Sus scrofa: one gene and its partners. Each later gene encodes a partner of the first gene's protein in a complex. Links are inferred from orthologs where the notes say so. Each region holds a gene or a part of one and is shown in the gene's direction. Other genes may lie near its edges. The genes, in order: TNNC1, TNNI3 and TNNI2.

What was found.
Region 2: the proteins of TNNC1 (region 1) and TNNI3 are in contact, whole or in part, in a crystal structure (PDB 4Y99), measured with the Homo sapiens proteins. The link is inferred for Sus scrofa from reciprocal best matches to the Homo sapiens genes TNNC1 and TNNI3. Residues at the interface, in NP_003271.1 of Homo sapiens: Asp3, Ile4, Lys6, Ala7, Glu10, Gln11, Thr13, Glu15, Gln16, Glu19, Phe20, Ala22, Ala23, Ile26, Phe27, Val44, Met45, Leu48, Gln50, Glu59, Met60, Glu63, Glu66, Asp67, Gly68, Asp73, Asp75, Glu76, Phe77, Met81; in NP_000354.4 of Homo sapiens: Glu32, Pro33, His34, Ala35, Lys36, Lys37, Lys38, Ser39, Lys40, Ile41, Ser42, Ala43, Ser44, Arg45, Lys46, Leu47, Gln48, Leu49, Lys50, Thr51, Leu52, Leu53, Leu54, Ile56, Ala57, Lys58, Glu60, Leu61, Glu64, Arg136.
Region 3: the proteins of TNNC1 (region 1) and TNNI2 are in contact, whole or in part, in an NMR structure (PDB 2MKP), measured with the Homo sapiens proteins. The link is inferred for Sus scrofa from reciprocal best matches to the Homo sapiens genes TNNC1 and TNNI2. Residues at the interface, in NP_003271.1 of Homo sapiens: Asn18, Glu19, Phe20, Ala22, Ala23, Ile26, Val44, Met45, Met47, Leu48, Gln50, Pro52, Glu56, Phe77, Met80, Met81, Cys84, Met85, Lys86, Asp87; in NP_001139301.1 of Homo sapiens: Arg116, Met117, Ser118, Ala119, Asp120, Ala121, Met122, Leu123, Ala125, Leu126, Leu127, Lys130, His131, Lys132.

The regions. Positions count from the first base shown.
Region 1 is NC_010455.5:34,590,432-34,597,038, reverse strand, and holds TNNC1 (troponin C, slow skeletal and cardiac muscles), read left to right. Parts: upstream 1-2,718; 5' UTR 2,719-2,727; coding exon 2,728-2,751; intron 2,752-4,199; coding exon 4,200-4,230; intron 4,231-4,447; coding exon 4,448-4,594; intron 4,595-4,874; coding exon 4,875-4,989; intron 4,990-5,214; coding exon 5,215-5,351; intron 5,352-5,434; coding exon 5,435-5,466; 3' UTR 5,467-5,468; downstream 5,469-6,607. Other genes in the region: NISCH (nischarin), read right to left, coding at 1,015-1,110. UniProt on the Homo sapiens protein: Troponin is the central regulatory protein of striated muscle contraction. Tn consists of three components: Tn-I which is the inhibitor of actomyosin ATPase, Tn-T which contains the binding site for tropomyosin and Tn-C.
Region 2 is NC_010448.4:59,373,734-59,380,463, reverse strand, and holds the start of TNNI3 (troponin I, cardiac muscle), read left to right. Parts: upstream 1-2,980; 5' UTR 2,981-3,057; intron 3,058-3,171; 5' UTR 3,172-3,260; intron 3,261-3,540; 5' UTR 3,541-3,671; intron 3,672-3,978; 5' UTR 3,979-4,072; intron 4,073-5,848; 5' UTR 5,849-6,505; intron 6,506-6,684; 5' UTR 6,685-6,730. UniProt on the Homo sapiens protein: Troponin I is the inhibitory subunit of troponin, the thin filament regulatory complex which confers calcium-sensitivity to striated muscle actomyosin ATPase activity.
Region 3 is NC_010444.4:1,248,802-1,255,517, forward strand, and holds TNNI2 (troponin I, fast skeletal muscle), read left to right. Parts: upstream 1-2,764; 5' UTR 2,765-2,787; intron 2,788-3,384; 5' UTR 3,385-3,406; coding exon 3,407-3,414; intron 3,415-3,611; coding exon 3,612-3,618; intron 3,619-4,073; coding exon 4,074-4,115; intron 4,116-4,194; coding exon 4,195-4,323; intron 4,324-4,408; coding exon 4,409-4,498; intron 4,499-4,584; coding exon 4,585-4,761; intron 4,762-4,902; coding exon 4,903-4,998; 3' UTR 4,999-5,082; downstream 5,083-6,716. UniProt on the Homo sapiens protein: Troponin I is the inhibitory subunit of troponin, the thin filament regulatory complex which confers calcium-sensitivity to striated muscle actomyosin ATPase activity.

The DNA.
Region 1 (6,607 bases):
GAATTAGTCCCCAGCCTCTCTACCCAGCCTGGCAGTTTCCATCCCCTCCCTCCAGTACAGGAAAGAATGACCCTGGAGGAGGGTTAGGATGAGGTCCAAAAGGATGGGGCGAAGGCAGGGCCAAAGCCCCCCACATACTTCCCACCTTCCAGGAACAAAAGACAGGAGTCTGGGAGGTGCTCAGATGCTCAGTCCCTGCCAGGCAGCCAACCTGGCCTGTAGGCCAGGTGCCCAATCCCATCCAGACCCAGGAGGGCCTCCAACTCATCACAGTCTGGAACCTGCCCCCTTTGCTGTCCTCCATCACCCCCGTAGCTCTGAAGTGTGCGTGGGCAGTTTACAGCACCAACTCACCCCCATAATCCAAAGCCATGAAGATCCCTAAGGTTCCCCGGTTTTAAGCTTTCAGCCCTGAGCCACCCCTTCAATTGCCGGTGTCTAGGCTCCACCCTTACCCCATTCTTGTTTCTGCCAGAGCCCCAAGGAACCTGAGCCCCCCTTCACTTTTAGAGCAAATCTCAACTGCAACCTCAGGCCTCCCACGTCAAGGCCCCGTCTCCTCCGCCCCCGCCCGCAGGGCCCTGACCCTTTCTGCAGATTTCATCCATCAGAGACCCTTTCCCTAATTCCCCTCCTTCCAGACCCCTTGTCACGTCCTCCCAGGCCGGCGCCTCTCAAGGCCTAGAAGATCTAGAGGGACCGCCGCCTCAACCCGACTCCTGTCTTCCGCAGACCCCCTTTATCCTCTAATCTTTCCCCAACCCTATCCTGCTTTTCTAAACGCGTACACTTCCCAGGCCCCCTCCCTGGGCCCCACCCCAGGACCCTCTTTCCCTACCTGCAGGGCCCAGGGTCCTTCCCCAGATTCCGCTATTCCAGGTCCCCACTTCAAAATCGCAGTCCCCCACCTCCTCCTCTTCAGATGCTGGGCCCAGATTCCCTCCCCAACCTCCCAACTCTGAAATCGGGTTCCAGCCGCCACCCCTAGTTCAGGCACCGGGGCCCTCGGCACACCGTATACGTGTCCACGAGCTCAGAGCCCACGACGCGAGCCTCCTTGGCCGGCTCGGCCTCCGGTTCGGGCCCGAAGCTGCGCGCCGCGGCCGCCATGTTCCGGGCTCGGTCGCCGCCGCCGCCCGGAGCAGACTGGCAGCAGCAGGGGGCGGGGTCAGCGTCCCACCGCCCCCCGACGGCCCCCGCCCCCCGCCCCACGCTGCTCACCAAGCAGCCATCTTGGACCGGCCGCCTCCTCGCGCCCCGCCCAGCTCCGCCCCTCGCGCGTAATTGACAGCAGCTGCCAATGGCGCGCGTGCGCAGGCTGCCCGGGAAGGTCCACTTGCGTAATCTGTACCTGCCTGGCCCCGCCCGCCGCGCTCCTAGCAGCGGGGGAGAAACTGAGGCTCCGGGCGGGAACTGCTCTGGGAATTGCCAGTCAGTGCCCAGGAAGGAAGGACCAATGGCCCCGCACCTTCCGGCGTACCTGAAGCGAGTCACTGCTTCGCTTGGTCTCAGTTTCCTTCTCCAGAAAAGAGGCAGTGGTTACCTCTCACCTTCCTCTTGGGCTCATTCCCAGTTGAGCACAAGAAGGCTAAAGGAGAAGAAAAATTGGGGCTTAGAATGCAAGCAGGACAGAATAATTGTGTCAGTTCTTAACCTCTCCAAGACTCAGATCTATGTCACATGGGCTTCCAGAGAACTGAGTGGGCTAGTCCACGCAAACGCCTGGCAGGCAAGGCAGGGAGCTGGTGTGAGTTCTGCGAGAAGGTGTTGAGTTAGGTGGAAGCAATGGCTATGTGCTGGCCATCTGGCACAAGACCCCCGCTGGTGTTCTACTAGAGCTCAAAATGAGGGGGCGATAGATTGGCTCTGGACCCAGGAACTGCAGTACTGGAGCACAGGCAGAGAAGGAGCCTTAACCCAGGGGAAGACCCAGATCTAGAAGAGAGAGGTGGTAAACCAACTTCAGGGGAACAGTCTTACACAGATGGGGCATCTGTGAGGGTGAGTTTGTTGAATGATTGATTGAATGCAGTCAAGCCCAGAGCTAGTACTTCTCTCCCTGGGGAGATGAGAGGTCTCAGGCAGGGCTTCTCTGGCACCCTTGGCAGAAAGGCTCCAGCCCATACTCTCCTGAGGTAGGTCAGTGCCTTCCTTCTCCACTAGTACCACAGCACCGTACTCTGAACTTGGCATTCGAGGCTTCTCTGAGGGTTCTGCTCTCCCACCCTCTCCTTACATAGTGTTGCCCCTGCTCCAGAGAGGTTTAACCTAAGTTAGGAGCTGCCACGTCAGCCAGACCTCAAGCAAGTCCTTCCAGGAGCCTCACCTATTCCCTTGATTGGATAGGGGTTGAGCTGCTGTGTATAGGGGCCTCACCTCCGGGGCAGACAGGAGCTGCAGTATAGTGGGCCCCAGGCGAGGCCCCTGTACACAGCTCCCGTCTGTCCTGGGCTTATGTTTTCATTTTTTCAAAAAACTTTTCTGGAGAGTCCCTGGGGAGATGGAGGACAGAGGGAGAGAGACCTGGTCCTTATAGCCCTTCATCTTCTCCTTGCCCTGGGCGGAGGACACAGGGACTCAGGCCAGTGTGAGATCACCAGGTCCAGGGGAGGGAGTGGAGGATACGGCAGGCAGGGGTGGGCTGGGCCGGGAATGTGGCGGGGCAGGGCTATTTAAGCCGAGGGCCGCTGCTGGCAACCTCAGCAGCCTGCCCTGTGAGCCGCCAGTATGGATGACATCTACAAGGCTGCGGTGAGGGATGGGCCTGGGCAGGGCTGGGGTGGCGGGCCCACAGGGGGCTCATTCAGCTCATGATGGGGGCAAGGTCACCTGAAGGAGATGGTGGGAATCCAGGAGAGGGACCACGTACTTTCAACCCAGGCCCTCAGGGGCTGGTGGGGCTGGCATTCCAGGGTGTGGAAGGGGTGAGGAGTTTAGGGTCTGTGGGTAGCTGTCAGGGTGGGTGGAGGAAGATGTCGCAGCTTTGGCATCATGTCTGCCCCTGTCTCCAAATGTCTCTAGTCTACGTCACTGGTCTCTGGACTTTTGCTGTTTCTAGTCTCTTTCCATCTCTTTGTTCCTTCCAAGCTCTCCCTCTGAGGCTCTGTTGCTGTTTCCCTGTCCCCACCTCCCCCACTGCTGCCCCTCATATTCTGCTTCTCACATGTCCACAATCCCCCACCCCCTCCAGCCCCTTGGCTGGCTGCAGATGCTGTGGAGAGTGGGATAGGGGTTGTGAGGAGGGGGCTGGAGAGCTGGAATCCTGAGCTGGAGAAGGGGCTCTGAAGTTTAAGGCAGGCAGGGAGGGACTGGGCATGGGGGTGGGGAGCTGGGAAGAAGGAACAGAGAGCTGAGGCCCCAGCCCGCATCCAGCTCGGCAGGCTCCGGATCAGTGGCTTAGCCAGGGGTAAGGGCTGGAGGGTGGTCACTTCAGGTCCCTGCAGGGCCCACTGAGGGGCTTCAGATGTGATTCCATGCCAGCAGGGGGGTGTGTTACTGACCTCCTCCCACCGTAGAGACAAGGACATCTGACATGGACAGCTGCTCCCAGGGGAACCCCTCCCTCAGCCCGGGGAAAGGAAGGGGGTGCCTCTGCCTATCCTGCAGGAGTCCATGGAGCTGGGGGGGCAGTCCTCCGCCCCATGCCCATACAAGGCCTGGCGGGGCTGGGAACTAATTTTGGCTCCTGAGGCTCCAGCAGGCCAGGGGGCTAGATAACGCTGCCCCACCCCCTGCATGCCAGAGTCCCCAGAACAATCACCAGGTTTAACTTTGTCCCCCGTTAAAAATAGCCCAGTGGCCACCCCGGTCAGGTTACAGTGGGTGGCTTTGCCTAGCCCCACTTTGGTTTTATTGTCCCAACCTGAGGGACAGCTGTCTCTTGGGCCACCCAGCTTGGGTTTCAGCCGGGGGTTGGGGGTGGGGTGGGGAGGGCGATGACTATTGTTACTCAGGGTCACCTTGGTCGTGGAAGGGGTTCCCACCTGTCACCCTGGCCCTGAGCCCAGTCTCAGTGAGGCTAGCCAGGTCACCTCAGGGCTTTGGGGGGCAGGGAGGGAGAACTGAGGCCTCTTCTGCTCTGTGACCTGGGAATGGCCTACCTCTTCCTGGCTTTAGTCTTCCCAGCTATGGAATGGGTTGATTTCCTCCACAGCAGCGAAGGCCTGAGCCTGAGTCCTGAGACCTCTTTTCCTCTCTAGGTAGAGCAGCTGACAGAAGAGCAGAAAAATGGTGAGTGCTCAAACACGCATGTAGGGGAACAGCAGGGCTGGGCTGGGGGAGTAGGAGGACCCCAGGCTGGAGGCCAGAGGCCAGAGTCCCTCTCCCTCTGACTTCAGATGTCAGAGGGAAGTGGGTAGGTTAACAGGTGGAACTAGAGGTCTGACCTTCCAGGTTTCTGGCTGTTGAGCCCTGGCCGCTCTGTTTCTCCTCTTCCCCTACTGGACAGAGTTCAAGGCAGCCTTTGACATCTTCGTGCTGGGCGCCGAGGATGGCTGCATTAGCACCAAGGAGCTGGGCAAAGTGATGAGGATGCTGGGCCAGAACCCCACACCTGAGGAACTGCAGGAGATGATTGACGAGGTGGATGAAGACGGTGAGCCCCCTCCCCTCCCCACCCAGCCCCAAACCCATAGCACTCCCAGCTCACTGGGACCCTGAATCCTGGATTGCTACTTATTACTCTGTGTCCTTAAAGGAGCTCTTTAGCCTCTCTGAACCTCAGCCGTCTCATGTATAAAATGGGCCCAAGGACCACACAGGCCTCACAGAGTTAGTGTGAGGATGCAGTGAGAGCACTGGGGTCTAGTGTCAAGGGCAGTGCCAGCCATTCTGACCATCCTTCTCTAATGGCTGTGCCACACCCCTCCCTCCAGGGAGTGGCACAGTGGACTTCGATGAGTTCTTGGTCATGATGGTTCGGTGCATGAAGGATGACAGCAAAGGAAAGTCTGAGGAGGAGCTTTCTGACCTCTTCCGCATGTTTGACAAGTGAGTGTATGACCCTTGACCTCTGACCCTAACCCTAGCAGAGCTGGGGAGAGGGGGACAGTCTTGTGACCTCAAGGCCTCAGTCTCCCATTCTGTACAGTGAGGGAATGGGATGCGCCACCTCCCAGTGGCCCTCCCCTGCCTCCCGGGGTCATGAGCAGGGCTGCCTCTTCCCCTCTCTGTGCCCCCATCACGGGCTCTGAGGCTCCCCTCACCCATTGGCAGAAACGCTGATGGCTATATCGACCTGGAGGAGCTGAAGATAATGCTTCAGGCGACAGGCGAGACCATCACAGAGGATGACATCGAGGAGCTCATGAAAGATGGTGACAAGAACAATGATGGCCGCATTGACTATGACGGTGAGTGGGGGTGCACTGAATCCCTGCTGCCAAGAGGCCAGCACCGATCCACCTCTGACCTATGCTCGCCCCTCTCTCCACAGAATTCCTGGAGTTCATGAAGGGGGTGGAGTAAACACCGACCTTCGTTCAGAGCTGCCTGTACCACCTTCCAACTCCAGCCCAGCCCCGGGGTTGGGGGCAGGGAGCCAGAGTCCCCAGGATATGAATTTGGGTATGTGCTTGACCACAGGCCCTCCCTGACTACCTTACCCAGCCCTGTCCTAGAGAATGCAAATAAAGCCCTGCTCCTTGGAGCCTGGTGCCTGGCTTCCATTCATGACTCTTCCCCAGGGTCTACTCCTGCCGCAGCAGTTTCCTTCCCCGTCCCAGACCCTAACCACCCTTGCACACTGCCTTCTGCAGGAGGGGCTGGATTAGATCAGAGACTACAACATTCCGTGCCCCACTGTCTCTTTTCTATAACTGCTGGTGCCCCAGCCCCACCTCCAGCAATTCCACATCTGAAGGCTGTGATGGCCCAGGAATCTGCATTTCACAGGCCCCGTCAGGGCCATAGTTTTGGTCAGCCAGTTGGCAGGCAGGGATCCACTACTTGGAGACAGAAGTCACTGCAGCACAGCAGCCCCAGCCCTTCCTTGGTTCTGGTTGGGGAGAAGCAGACCACATGGGGGCTCAGCTGGCCTGCAGCTCCAGGCCATCTGCCCACCCACTTGGATTTCCTGCTGGCGGCATTGGCTTAAGGGACCGAGGGGCATATCTTCTACTCTGCCTCCCCTTGGCCATTTGACAGGTGGGGCCCAGAGAGGCTCCGGGCCTGTCAAGGTCATGCAGTGAGGCTGGGAAGAGCAGAGCCACCTGGCTCCCCAGCCGAGGACTCTGTCTGATGGACCAGGTCCAGATGGGCATGATTTCTAGTTACCATGAACTTCATCAGCTCCAGCAGCCCACAATTCCTCCCTGACAGGGAATAGATGCAGAGGGCCTGGTGGCTCTCAGCCTAGTGGGGGTACCCAGGCCAGAACTATGGACAGAATAGTGAAACTGGCCTTGGGGAGGTAGAGGAATGCAAGGAAGTGGAGGTGTCAGCAGTGGTGCTTGCAAGAGGGACAGCTGCCACTGTGCCTAGGCTGCAGCCAGAATGTCAGCAGCTGTCCCTGCTCCACCCAGTCACTCCACAGCCTCTGCACCTGTGCCCCAGCCTTGGCATTCCCCAGACAGGCCCAACATTCCAGAGACGGTCTTGGAATTCTGGA
Region 2 (6,730 bases), on another chromosome or scaffold:
ATCCCTGGCCTCGATCAGTGGGTTAAGGATCCAGCGTTTCTGTGAGCTGTAGTGTAGGTCACAACCATAGCTCAGATCCCTCCATTGCTGTGGCTGTGGCTGTGGCTGCAGCTCCACTTTGACCCCTATCCTGGGAACTTCCATATGCTGAGAGTGTGGCCCTAAAAAGAAAATAAAAAATGTCTCCAAAGGAATGCAGTGATTTCTCATGTGTGAGTGAGGGAGGCATATTTATAAAGACAGAGCTATGTCATATTAATAGCATTATTACTGCTACCGCTTCTGTTAATAATTCTCACAAAAACTTCATGAAATATATGTGATGATTGTTCCCAATTGACAAATGAGGAAACTGTGCTTCGGTGAATTAACGTGACCTGCTCAGGGCTACAGCTGGAAGTCCTTCTCTAAATCCTGGGGTTGAATCTGTTCTGAGTTAGATAATGACATTGGGATCCCCAGTTCCATGTCTCAACAAATCAGCAGACAAATTAGAAGTGCAAAACCATTAAAAATGGTGACCAGACTGGAAGGAAACCAGTAAGGGCTGAGGTGAGATCCTGTTTTAAAATTTTTATTTATTTGGGCTGTGGCTGTGGTGTGCAATGGCTGCTGTGGGATCTCAGTGGCCACACCAGGAACCTGGGCCACAGCGATGGAAGTGCCAAGTCCTAAGAGCTAGAGCACACAGCAACTCCCCAGACCATTTTAAAAGGGTAGTCAGGGACAGCTTCCCTGAAGAGGTAGTGTTTGGGGAGTTCCCGTCACGGCTCAGTGGAAATGAATCTGACTAGCATCCTAGAGGACGCAGGTTCGATCCCTGGCCTCGCTCAGTGGGTTAAGGATCTGGCATTGCCGTGAGCTGTGGTGTAGGTTGCAGATGTAGCTGAGATCTGGCGTTGCTGTGGCTGTGGCCTAGGCTGGTGGCTACAGCTCCAATTTGACCCCAGTCTGGAAACCTCCACATGCCCTGCGGACCTAAAAAGCCAAAAAAAAAAAAGAAAAAAGAAAAAGTAGTGTTTAGGGGCTGTGATTTGAATGGCAAGAAGGCATGAGACTTGCAAAAATGAGGGGGAAATAACAGAATATTATTCAGTCGTAAAAAAGCAATGAAGTACAAGAATTCCCTTTGTGGCTCAGTGCGTTATGAACCCCACTAGTAGCCATGAGGGCATGGATTCGATCCTGGGCCTCACTCAGTAGGTTAAGGACCTGGACCTGCCCAGAGGCTCTGTCTGGTGTTGCTGTGACTGTGGTGGAGGCCAGCAACTACAGCTCCAATTTGAACCCTAGCCTGGGAACTTCCATATGCTGCAGGTGCGGCCCTAAACAAACAAAAACAACATTGCATTAAAATAGCATTTCCTTCCTACAGATACAATAGTTGGAAATAACCTTGAGACCGCTAATAATAGTAAAATATAATAAAATAGAAACTGATGAGTTTTGAGTATGATTACCTTTTCTTTACCGTATTTATTTATTTATTTAGCCTTTTCTAGGGCCGCACCTGCAGCATATGCAGGTTCCCAGGCTAGGGGTCTAATCAGAGCCAAGCCTACGCCACAGCCACAGCCACAGCCCCGCCAGATCTGAACCGAGTCTGCGACCTACACCGCAGCTCATGGCAATGCCGGATCTTAACCCACTGATCGAGGCCAGGGATTGAACCAGCAACTTCATGGTTCCTAGTTGGCCTCATTAACCACTGCATCAGGAGGAGAACTCCCTTATTTATTTGCTTTTTTTGGCCGCACTTGCCGGCATCTGGAAGTTACCAGGCCAGGTATTGAGCCCATGTCACAACAGTGACCCATGCCACATCAGTGACAACGTTGGATCCTTAACCTGTTGGGCCACTAGGGGACTCCTGATTACATTTATTTTAATGTAATGTGTTTAATTGGAATTTGATTTTTTTTTTTTTTTTTTTTTTTTTGCTTTTTAGAGCTGCACTCATGGCATATGGAGGTTCCCATGCTAGGAGTCTAATCGGAGCTATAGCTGCTGGCCTACACCACAGCTTACGGCAATGCCGGATCCTTAACTCACTGAGCAAGGCCAGGAATCAAACCCGCAACTTCATGGTTCCTAGTCGGATTCGTTTCCGCTGCACCACGATGGGAACTCCCGGAATTTGATTTTTAATAAAGTTTAGTAAAACGTTTAATTTTTAGTAATGATTTTGTGTAACAACCGGGTCACAAAATTCTTGAAAATTTAACAATCAGGTGCCAGTGGTAGCTGGCCCTAGAACTTTCCCATGTGGTGAGAAGCCCTATGTGGTAGAGCCCAGGTGTGAGGGAAAATGACACAGATGTCTATATATATAATATATATATTATATATATATATGTATTATATATATATAATATATATATATACTTTTTTTTTTTGTCTTTTTGCCTTTTCTACGGCCGTTCATGCGGCATATGGAGGTTCCCAGGCTAGGGATCGAATCAGAGCTGCAGCCGCTGGCCTACGCCAGAGCCACAGCAACGCGGGATCCAAGCCGCATCTGCGACCTACACCACAGCTCACGGCCACGCGGGATCCTTAACCTACTGAGCAAGGCCAGGGACTGAACCCGCATCCTCATGGTTCCTAGTCGGATTCATTAACCACTGAGCCACGACGGGAACTCCAGAGGTCTATAATTTAAGGTGTAGGCCATCTCACTTTAATTTGGGTTTATCAAGATTCTGTTCCGTTCTTCCTCCCCGTTCCAGAAATTTGGACCGCCCCAGGCTCCGCCCCGTGTCTTCCGGCCCCGCCCCTTCGCCCACGCCGTCGTCATGACAACCGCGTCCGCTTGCCCACCACTCCCACAAGCCAGAGTCGTCGTCCCTCAACGCTCGCATTGGTCAAAAGTTCATAGAGGACAGGTCTCGCTCGCTCTCATTGGTCAGTGGATCACAGTGGTGCCAGCCCGCACACTCCCATTGGCTTACTGATTGAAAAGGGCGGAGACTCTGGGCAGCAGTTGCGGAGAGAGCGTCGGACTGCATCTCGGAGTGGGCAGAGAGCGGGTGTGTCCAGTTATTTGGAAGGATAAAGGTGAGGGGGGCCGTCCCATGGAGGAAAGAGGCGAGAAATCAGGGGACGTGAAAGGCGAATGGGTGGAGGCCGCAGACACGATGTTTGGGGATTCCCAGGTTGTCTGTCGTGCAGGGCGATGACCACACCGGCAGGCTCGGGCTCAGGCTTCGGCTCCGTGTCCTGGTGGGGCCTGTCCCCGGCGGTGGACCTGCAGGCTGAGAGTGAGTCCCACGCAGGATCACAAATCCAACACAGCGCTGCCTTCAGAGCTGGCAGACAGCGCGCTAACCTTCTTTGAGGCTCCAAGGGTGGGGGCGCCCCCGAGCGGACAGCCTTGATGCCGCTGCAGACTACCAGTCCCAGAATGCTTAGAGGCACAGCTCCCTTTGAAACCTAGGCCAGGAGTGCAAGTTCTCCTGGGAGGTGTAGTCCATCGTGCTGAGCGAGGCTGCCATGGGCGCTCTTCAGGCCACCGACCCCAACCCTCTGTCTTTTTGTCAGGTCCTGTGGACCCAGACGATCCAGAGCACGGGATACCCGAGCTAAATGTCCTGCTGGTGGGCTCCGTGGATGGGCGGCATCTGCTGCGGACTTTGGCCCGAGCTGCGCTCTGGCCTCGAAGGAGATTCCACGTGAGCTGGGATTAGGGGTCGTGAAAGGAGGAGGATGAATATGAGAACCCAGATTCCTGAGTCCCTGAAGCTGGGAACCCAGACTCCTGAGTCCTGGGGAAAGAGTGGGCTGGGTCTGGGGACTCCTGGGTCCGAGTGGGAGGAAGAGCCTGAGTAGTGATGGGGAGGAGAGTTCTGAGTGCGCACGCTCGTGTTGAAGAAGGGGGGCTGATGTACAGGTCTCCTTGGTTCTAAGTTTGCTCACTCCTGAGTCTCCTGGGAGCCAAGGACACATCTCAGAATCATCCTTCCCTCTCCATACTTCCAGTTTTATGTTCTGGAAAATAATCTAGAAGCTGTAGCCCGACACATGCTGATCTTCAGTATAGCCTTGGAGGATCCAGAGAAGATGGGGCTGCAAGGTCAGTGGCAAAGACCCAGGCAGTCTGGCCCCCAGCCTCTTCCCCTTCCCTGTAGGAATTCTGGCATTTCAAGGATACTCAGGAGTTCCTGTCGTGGCTCAGTGGTTAATGAATCCAACTAGGAACCATGAAGTTGTGGTTTCCATCCCTGGCCTTGCTCAGTGCATTAAGGATCTGGCATTGCTGTGAGCTGTGGTGTAGGTTGCAGATGCAGCTTGGATCCCGCTTTGCTGTGGCTCTGGCATAGGCGGGTGACTACAGCTCCAATTAGACCCCTCGCCTGGGAACCTCCATATGCTGCGGGAGCAGCCCTAGAAAAAGCAAAAAGACAAAAATAAAACAAACAAAAAATCAAGGGTACTCATTTTGAATGAGTATTGATCCCTATTTCATCACTTGCTCACTTGTTTGTTGGCCTTAGAGCCTCAGTCTTTCCCACTTGTGAAGTAGGCCTAAAAATACTTTCTAGAATCATCTAGAGAATTCTAGAAGAAAACCCACATACAACTTTCAGAACTATGCATGACACAGTGTAAGCATGCAGAGCCTTCCACGAAGGGAGAAGCCCAAAAGAGATCAAGGGACTTTCTGAGAGGTGGTGAGGCCTCCAGAAGTAGGGGGCGGGGGTTGGCTGAGCTGAGGGTGAAACCCAGGCAGCCTGCCTGAAGGAGGCAGACTTGGAAAGTGAACTTATAAGGAGAAGGGGGAGAAGGAGGATTTGGGAAATTGATTGTCTCTCAGTAACAACAACTTCAGCTTAGTGCCTAGAGCAAAACCTCTAGGATTCAGACAAGCCGTGTTCAAATTCTGACTCTGCTTGTTCTGTGACCTTGGGCTAGTATCTGGTCTTTTCTTGGCTTCAGTTTCTACATTTATAAAATGGAGGTCATGAAAGATCTTCCCCCATAGAATTCTTATGAGTATACAATGGGGAAAAAAAAAGCACATGTCCTGGCTTATGATACTGACTCGATACATTTTAGTGAGTACTGTTGTTTTCATGATTATGGATGGTAGGTGTCATTAATAGCCCAGAACATTCGGAAGACATTGCACAGATTTCATAATACACCTTATGAAAAGGTCCTTAAGGAGTTCCCATCGTGGCTCAGTGGTTAACAAATCCGACTAGGAACCATGAGGTGGCAGGTTCGATCCCTGGCCTTGCTCAGTGGGTTAAGGATCCGGTGTTGCCGTGAGTTGTGGTGTAGGTCGCAGATGCGGCTCGCATCCCGCGTTGCTGTGGCTCTGGCGTAGGCCGGTGGCTACAGCTCCGATAAGACCCCTAGCCTGGGAACCTCCATGTGTGGCCCTAGAAATGGCAAAAAGATGAAAAAACAACAAATAAGTAAATTAAAAAGTCCTTAAACAACTGGGACTAATCTAATCTGGATCTGATCTAACTACAGGTATATAGTTCTCTCATAAGTTTCTTAACTAAAATGAAAAAAATGAACAGTCTAACACTTAATACACATAAATCTTCATCTCCATCTCCATCTGTATATAACTTTTTCTTTTTTAAGGCAAGGGAAACAAATATGAAAATCAGAATTGGGGTTACCTGGGGGGAGGGAATAGGTGGGAAGAATAGGTCTAAGTTATTTCTTCTTCTTCTGGCCCTTGGGATGGGTGGGGAGTTTGCCTGGCTCCCTTATGCTCACTACCTGACTACGAAAACCTAAGATCACTGTAAAATGGATGTGCATCATCCACAGGGGTCTCATTTCCAGGTTCCCTCTATTCCTCCCACTAGTTTCTCCCCCCTCCCCGCAGAGAGGAGCGAGACCTTCCTGGAGGTGTGGGGGAACGCGCTGCTGCGCCCCCCGGTGGCCGCCTTCGTGCGCGCCCAGGCCGACCGCCTGGCCCACCTGGTCCTGGAACCCGATCGCCTGCAAGAGCAGCTACCCTGGCTCAGCCTGGGCGCGCTCAAGGTGCCTCCGCCCAGCCTCCGACTATCACCGCCGGGGATCCGGGTGGCAACGGGAAGAATGGAGATGGACGATCCAAATGGGTTTGGGCTGATGGAGTAGGCTGAGGGCGCGGGAGTCCGAACCCCGGCTTCCTGGCTCCCACTGTGAGACATGGACCAGGGGGCAGCTTCCGCTCTCTGCGCCTCAGTTTCTTCATCTGAGAAAAGGGAGAATCGTTCCCACGCTCTGGGAGGGAAGGGAGGGTCCAGCAGGAGAAGCCACTCTTCCTGCAGCCGCCTCTCCCTGGTTCTCCCTCCACGCGTGCCTGGCCGTGCAGTTCCGCGAGCGCGACGCCCTGGAGGCCGTGTTCCGTTTCTGGGCGGGCGGGGAGAAGGGGCCTGAGGCCTTCCCCATGAGCCGCCTGTGGGACTCGAGGCTGCGCCACTACCTGGGCTCCCGGTACGACGCCCGGCGCGGTGTCAGCGACTGGGACCTGCACATGAAGCTGCACGATCGCGGGGTGAGGGCTGGGACCCGGGGGGATCAGGTCCTCAGTCCCGGGTGAGGAGGTGGTTCTGGAGCTTGAGGAAGGGGGCTTGGGATCCTGGGTCTGAGGGAGGAGGGTGCTGGAGGCCCTCAGTGCTGGGAACCGTATCCCAGATTCCCTGAGGCCTCTTTTCTTGCTTCCCCCAACTCCAGGCCCGAGTCATCCACACTCGTGAGTTCCGGCGCTGGAGGGACACAG
Region 3 (6,716 bases), on another chromosome or scaffold:
AGCAGTGGGGGCGCCTGCTGCTGTCCCTGGCGTATGACTTCAGAAGCCAGGAGGTGAGGGACCCGCTGGCAGACCTGGGGCGGGGGGCGGGGTGGGTGAAGGGTGGGTGCTGGGTGGAGTGGAGCAGAATGCTGACTGGGGAGGGGCCCCTGGCTGAACCAACCCCTGGCTCCTAGATCAGGGTGGGCCTCAAGCAGGCAGCAGACCTACGGGCTGGGGGCAGAGGCGGCACGGCAGACCCCTACGCCCGCGTCAGCCTCTGCCCCCCGCTGGGCACACGCACGAGACAAAGGTGCACCGTGGCACACGCTGCCCTGTGTTCGACGAGATCTGCTCCTTCCACGTGAGTCTGGGCCGGGCGGCAGGCTGAGGGGGTGGCGGGCGGAGGGGCTCTGGGCCTCACGCTCTCCTGTAGGTGCCGCCGGCAGAGCTGCCGCGGACCAGCCTTCAGGTGCAGGTGCTGCACTCCCGGGGCGTCTCCCCGCCCGAGCCGCTGGGCGCGCTCAGCCTGCCGCTGGGCACCGTGGACCTGCAGCACGTCCTGGAGCTCTGGCACCCGCTGGGCCCACCCAGCGCCCCTGAGGTGAGATCGGATTGATCGCGGGCCTCAGCTGTGCCCCACCCGCTGTGCTGGGGAAGCTGAGGCCCCCTCCCTCCCGCAGCCCGAGCAGACGGGTGAACTGTGCGTCTCACTCCGGTACGTGCCCGGCTCCGGCCGGCTGACCGTGGTGGTGCTGGAGGCCCGAGGCCTGAGCCCGGGGCTGGCAGGTGAGAGCCAGGCCGGCCCCTCCACGGGGCCAGAGGGGAGCCTGGGCTCGGGCCTCAGACCCAGACCGCCCTCTGGTCTCCCTCGCTTTGCCCAGAGCCCTTCGTGAAGGTCCAGCTTGTGCTGAATCAGAGGAAGTGGAAGAAGAGGAAGACGTCGACCAGGAAAGGGACGGCCGCCCCTTACTTCAACAAGGCCTTTACCTTCCTCGTGCCCTTCAGCCAGATCCAGGTGGGCTGCCTGGAGGAGGGGGACAGTGGGCCCGGGCTCAGGGCCAACCTGACTTCTGTCCTTCTCCCCCCACCGCACCCTGCCTGCCTCTACCCAGAGCGTGGATCTGGTGCTGGCCGTCTGGGCCCGGGGCCCTCAGTTCCGGGCCGAGCCCGTGGGCAAGGTTCTGCTGGGCGCCCGGGCCTCTGGTCAGCCCTTACAGCACTGGGCGGACATGCTGGCCCACGCCCGGCGACCCATTGCCCAGTGGCACCGCCTGCGTCCGGCCAGGGAGGTGGACCGGGTCTTGGCCTTGCAGCCCCGCCTGCGCCTGCCCCTGCCAGGCTCCTGAAAGCAGTGTCCTCGAGGGTGCAGGCCGCCCCGGGCGCCACACAATAAACGCCTTCTCCCGCCTCTGCTGTGTGTCCTTCCTGAGCCCGAGGACACAGTAGGGTCAGGGGCTCCACCAACACGTCCCGGACCCCTCCAAGGACAAGGGGGGGGGTCTCCCCTCCAGACTCAGCCAGGCCCTGCGGCCTCTGACCAGTGCCTGACCCCGAGTGAGGGCGAAGGGGCCCCTTCGGGCCCAGTGGGGACGGCGCTGGGAGATGGGGAGCTCTCCCTGGCTGCGGGGGCTGGGGGCCCATGGGGTGGCCCCACGCGGACATGTTGGGCAACGGGGAGACATCTGGGGGCGGTGACAGTGTTGGAGGGGACCTCAGCCCCAAGGACCACCCCAGCCCCCTGCCAGGCCCCGAAAGCCTCGGGCTGAGGCCTCCCCTGCTCGAGCAGCAGGGGGCAGTAGATGCCTTCCGAAGCCGCCCCGGGCCTTTGGGGGCTCAGCCTGGCCCGGAAAGCGGCGCTAATCCCCGCACATCTGGCCGGCTCCTGCTCTCCCTGACCCTCCCCACGCTGAGAGGCCAGCGGGGCTGGGGCCGTGCGCCCCCGGCTCCGAGGGTGCCAGGCCCTGGTGGGGTCTCCATGCCTCCGCTGGGTGGGGGCCCGGGCCGGGGGCACAGGCCCGGGCCCCAGGCCCCTCGGGTCAGGGAGAGGTTCCCAGGTGGGTGGTGCCGAAGTCCGAAATCTGGGGGTTGAAAGACACATTCCAGGCCGTGCAGGGAACTGGCCTGCAGGCAGGGCGTTCCAGGCAAGGCAGCACGTCCCTCCGTCCCGGGGCCCCCAGCCTGCTCCCCAGCAAGAAGCAGGGACCACGCCCGCGGAGGGCGGCCCCCACCGCAGAGACCCTGGCTGCTGCCACAGGCACCAGAAGCTGCGTTTGGGGGTCCCGACTTGTCCCAGTCCAGCTTGGAGCTGGCCAAGCTAAAGAGGCCAGTGAGCACGGAGAGGGGCTGTTGTCCCCAGGGGGGCCCTGGGCCCTGGGGAAGCTGACCACGGCGGGGACCTGAGGCAGGGCAGGTGGGGCTGGGCTGCAGTGACCCCTCGGCTGACATGAGCTGCGCACTGTGGCCGGCGAGGCTGGCACACTGTCCTCAGGCCTCTCACAAGAACAAGGGCAGCATCTCGAAGTCGTCACTGAGCCCTAAATAGAGCCACCCAACCTCGGCCCCCCCACCTCCCGTCCCCAAGACTCCTTGGCCTGGACGGCAGCACGCGGACGCAGCTGGGCCGGGCAGGCAGCCTGGGCAGGTGGGCAGGTCCCTGTGCCCCCATTGGTCTGAAGAGGGCTCCATGCCCTTTCTGAGCGGGGGCCCAGCCTGGGGGAGGCCATTTATATCCCTCCCCTGGGCCCACCAGCCCAGCTTGCCGCTGCCGGCCTAACCTCAGCCCCAGTGCTGCTGCCCAGACGTGAGGTGAGGTGGCCCTGCCAGCCGACTCCAGGGACAGGCGCTGCTCAAGCAAGCTCACAGAAGGGCTTCCCAGGGCTGGGGGGCCAGAGGCGGGGGCTGCAGCCTCTCGGGGGGCTTCCACAGAGAGGGAGCGGGGGCGGAGGGGGGGCAAGAGAGAGAAGCATTGGAGGTGGGCCAGGGTGGCCAGGGGTCCTGGGCAGCACCCCGACGGCCAGGCCTCACCTCTGGGACATGGGAGGGGATCTTACGGGTCAAGGAACCCCAGGCCCAACTGGGGAGCCGTTTCTTGTGTGCACTGGGGCCAGAAGCTGAAGGAGCAGAGCTAAAAATAACTGGTGGCTTTGGCGGCCACCTGCGCTGGCCGGACCCACCCTCCCTTGGGGACAGCTGCAGCCCCCCCCAGGCCCGCCTGGGACATATTGGGAACACTTTCTCCTCTTACTCCCCCCCCCGCCGGGATTCCAAGACACAGCCCTCCAAGGAGGTGGGGGGCGGGGCTGCAGGGGGCGGGGTTCGTGTGAGGGCAGAACCCTCTGGACAGCTGGGGTCCAGGGAAGGCGGGGCAAGGGCCCTAACAGCCCTGACCTTTCTCTCCCACAGGCTCTAAGTCCAGGAGCTCAAGATGGGGGAGTAAGTGCAGCCCCCCAGCCCGGTGCCCTCGCCCCGCTCCGGCCCACACCCCTCCCCCGCCCCGCCCTCGCTGGGCAAGGGGCTCTGCATCCCCACCCTGGCCACTGCCCGCCCGCCCACCCCGTCCGTCACACAGCCCCACGGCATGGCCCTAACTTCTCTTCTCTCTCCTCCCCCCACCTGCCCTCCTGGGACAGTGAGGAGGTGAGTACCTGCCCTGGGGTGGGACTTCGAAGGGATGGCACACCCCCCACACATCAGGACAGGTTGGAGCTTCAAGGCAGCCCTCCCTTCCCCGTGAAAGGGCAACCCCCCCCCAGAGGAAGTGTCTGCTCCATGTGGTGGCGCGGCACAGGGGAAGTGCCGCCTGGCCCCGTCACCGGGAAGTGGCTTCTTCTTTCTGATGGCTGCATCCCCTCCCCCACCTCCTGGGCCCTGCCAGCACGTCCCCCCCCACCTGCCTCTGAGGCACAGCCACACCTACTCCACCTAACCTGAAGGGACATCCGGGCAGAGGGTCACTGTGCTGCACCATGTCCGGGCCCCAGCCTCCCCACCAGGCCCAGTGGACCCCGGACTGGGCGGCACGAGCCAGACAGGATGCAGGATGCTGGCAGCCCGGCCGGCCCTGACTCTGTCTCCTCTCCCCTGCCCTGCAGAAGCGCCACAGGGCCATCACGGCCCGCAGACAGCACCTGAAGGTGGGTGCGGGCCTGGGTGGGGGGCGCCCAGGGGGCCGAGGGCCTGCTGCCGCCCCTCACCAGCTGCCTCCCCGCCCAGAGCGTCATGCTCCAGATCGCGGCCACGGAGCTGGAGAAGGAGGTGGGCCGCCGGGAGTCGGAGAAGCAGAACTACCTGTCTGAGCACTGCCCCCCGCTGCACCTGCCCGGCTCCATGTCGGAGGTCCAGGTACCCAGGGAGGGCGGGCGGGGTCAGGGCGGAGGGAGGCCCAAGGGTGGGGCCGGCCCCCCGCCCACCCACGCCCCCCCCCCAGGAGCTCTGCAAACAGCTGCACGCCAAGATCGACGCGGCCGAGGAGGAGAAGTACGACATGGAGATCAAGGTCCAGAAAAGCACCAAGGAGGTGAGAGGTCGGGCGGGGGCGGGGGCGGGACGCGCCCCCCACGGGCCTGGCTTCCGAGCCTCCCCGCCCCTCGCCCACGTCCGCAGCTGGAGGACATGAACCAGAAGCTGTTCGACCTGAGAGGCAAGTTCAAGAGGCCCCCGCTGAGAAGGGTGCGGATGTCGGCCGATGCCATGCTCAAGGCGCTGCTGGGCTCCAAGCACAAAGTGTGCATGGACCTGCGGGCCAACCTGAAGCAGGTCAAGAAGGAGGACACGGAGAAGGTAGGCCAGGCTCGGGACCCGTCGGCAGGGACCCTCGCCCGGGGGCGGCAGTGGCAGGCGGTGGGGGGGGCGGGGGTGGGCTCGGCCCCCCGGAAGGGTCTAGGGAGCGGGCGCTGAGCCCTGTGCCCGCGCGCGCGGCAGGAGCGGGACCTGCGCGACGTGGGCGACTGGAGGAAGAACATCGAGGAGAAGTCGGGCATGGAGGGCCGCAAGAAGATGTTCGAGACGGAGTCCTAGGCCCCCGGGGGCCCCGCCGCCCGCGCTCCCGGCAGCCGCGCGCCCCCTGGAGGCCGCTCGGCCTCGTGGTCAATAAAGGCTTCCCATCCCCAGGACTGCTGCGTCTGGCCTGGTCCTCTCTGCCCGCGGGCCGTCTGCGGGGGGCCTCTGAGCCCTGAGTCGGCGCTGAGAAGCCGGGGTGGGCTTCGGGGCATTTCGGCTGGGCCCGAGGGCCGCGTCCAGGCCAGGGAACCCTCCTCCCCCACTCGCCCTCCCCGGGGGGGGGGGGCCTGCTTGGCGACATCGGGCAGACCCCACAGGCCAGACACAGGTGGCCCAGGTCCTGTCCGAGATGCTTCTCCAGACGACCATTTGTCCACTGTCGCTGTCATCGCAAAGGTCCCGGAGCCTGCCCTTGTGGCATAAGTCAAGGCAGGAGCCTATGTGGGCAGCCCCCCACCCCAGCCTTCCTCCCAGGCTGCTCCTCCCCAGACCCCAGCCTCCCGCAGGGCACATGGGGACCGTCCTGGGTCAGATGGCCCTCCCAGCAGCTGGAGCCCCCGACGCAGGCGTACGCTGGGCTGGGGCCTGCGCTCCTGCCAGAGACACCACAGGCCAACCGGCCCCAGGCTGGGCTCAGTGGGGGCGGCGGCGGGGGGGGCTCTTCTTTCTGCCCAGCCCTCGCCGACCTCACACACCAAGGGACGATGTGCCCGACAGGCCCAGACGTGACTGTCATGGCAAGGCCGCCGCCAGCCTCCTCCGTGAGGGATGATGCTCAGGTCCGGCGCTCAGGTCTTTGGTGGGGAGCCGGGATGCTGGGCGTGGCCGTAACGGAGTGGCCATCCAGCCTACCCTTGCCCTGTGGAGGTCCCATCGATTGGCGTGCCAGGGCTGGAGATGCGGCGGGCAGCTGCCTTCAGCCTTGAGCCTCAAGGGACAGGCGTCAGCCTGCCCGGCTGGCCTTCACAAGTACGGCTCCCCACCCCCGCTCCAGCCCAGGCACCGGGCTCAGGCCACCCTGCAGCTCGGGGCCCCCAGCCTGGTGCCTGGGCTGCCCTTCCCACTCCCGTAGGCGGGTGTAGGGCCCGGGTCATCCCTGTGGAGCTCCGAGCAGGCCGGGCGGGCTGTGGATTCAAGGGGTGGGTTTTGGCGCCCACAGTGCAGAGAGAAGGAAGCGGTACCCTCCTTGCACCTGGCAAAAGGGATGGGCAGCTGGGCTGGGGCCGTGCCCACCAGGAGAGGGGCCGTGAATCCATCCTGGGGGCCGGCTGTAGGGCTGGGCTCCCACAGCAGGACGCAACTGTGGGCAGGGAAACGCAAGGAAATGTCCAGCACAAACTCCCGACGGTGACCCCCCGGGTGCGGCGGCCAAGCAGGGGCAGAGGGGGCGGGAGCACCAAAGGGGAGGCAGGTTGGGGATGTTGTAATTCTTGGGGGGGGACAATGGGTTTACGGGTGCCCTTGTCACATTTTCCAGTGAATGAATGAAGAAAGAGAACCCTGCAAACCAACCAGGCCAGCACACATCCAAACAGCGCCACACCCCTCTGCCACTGTCCTGGTGGGCCACGCCGCTGCACTCAGCGGCAGGGAGGGCCGAACGGGGCAATCCCGGGCAACAAGCGTGTAGTGCAGCATCCAACGCCTGCATGCTGAGGGTGCTGCGTTCTCTAGAAAGATCTCTACAGGGCGGGGAATGGGCAAGGCCGGAAGGAACAAGAGCAGCCACTGCCACC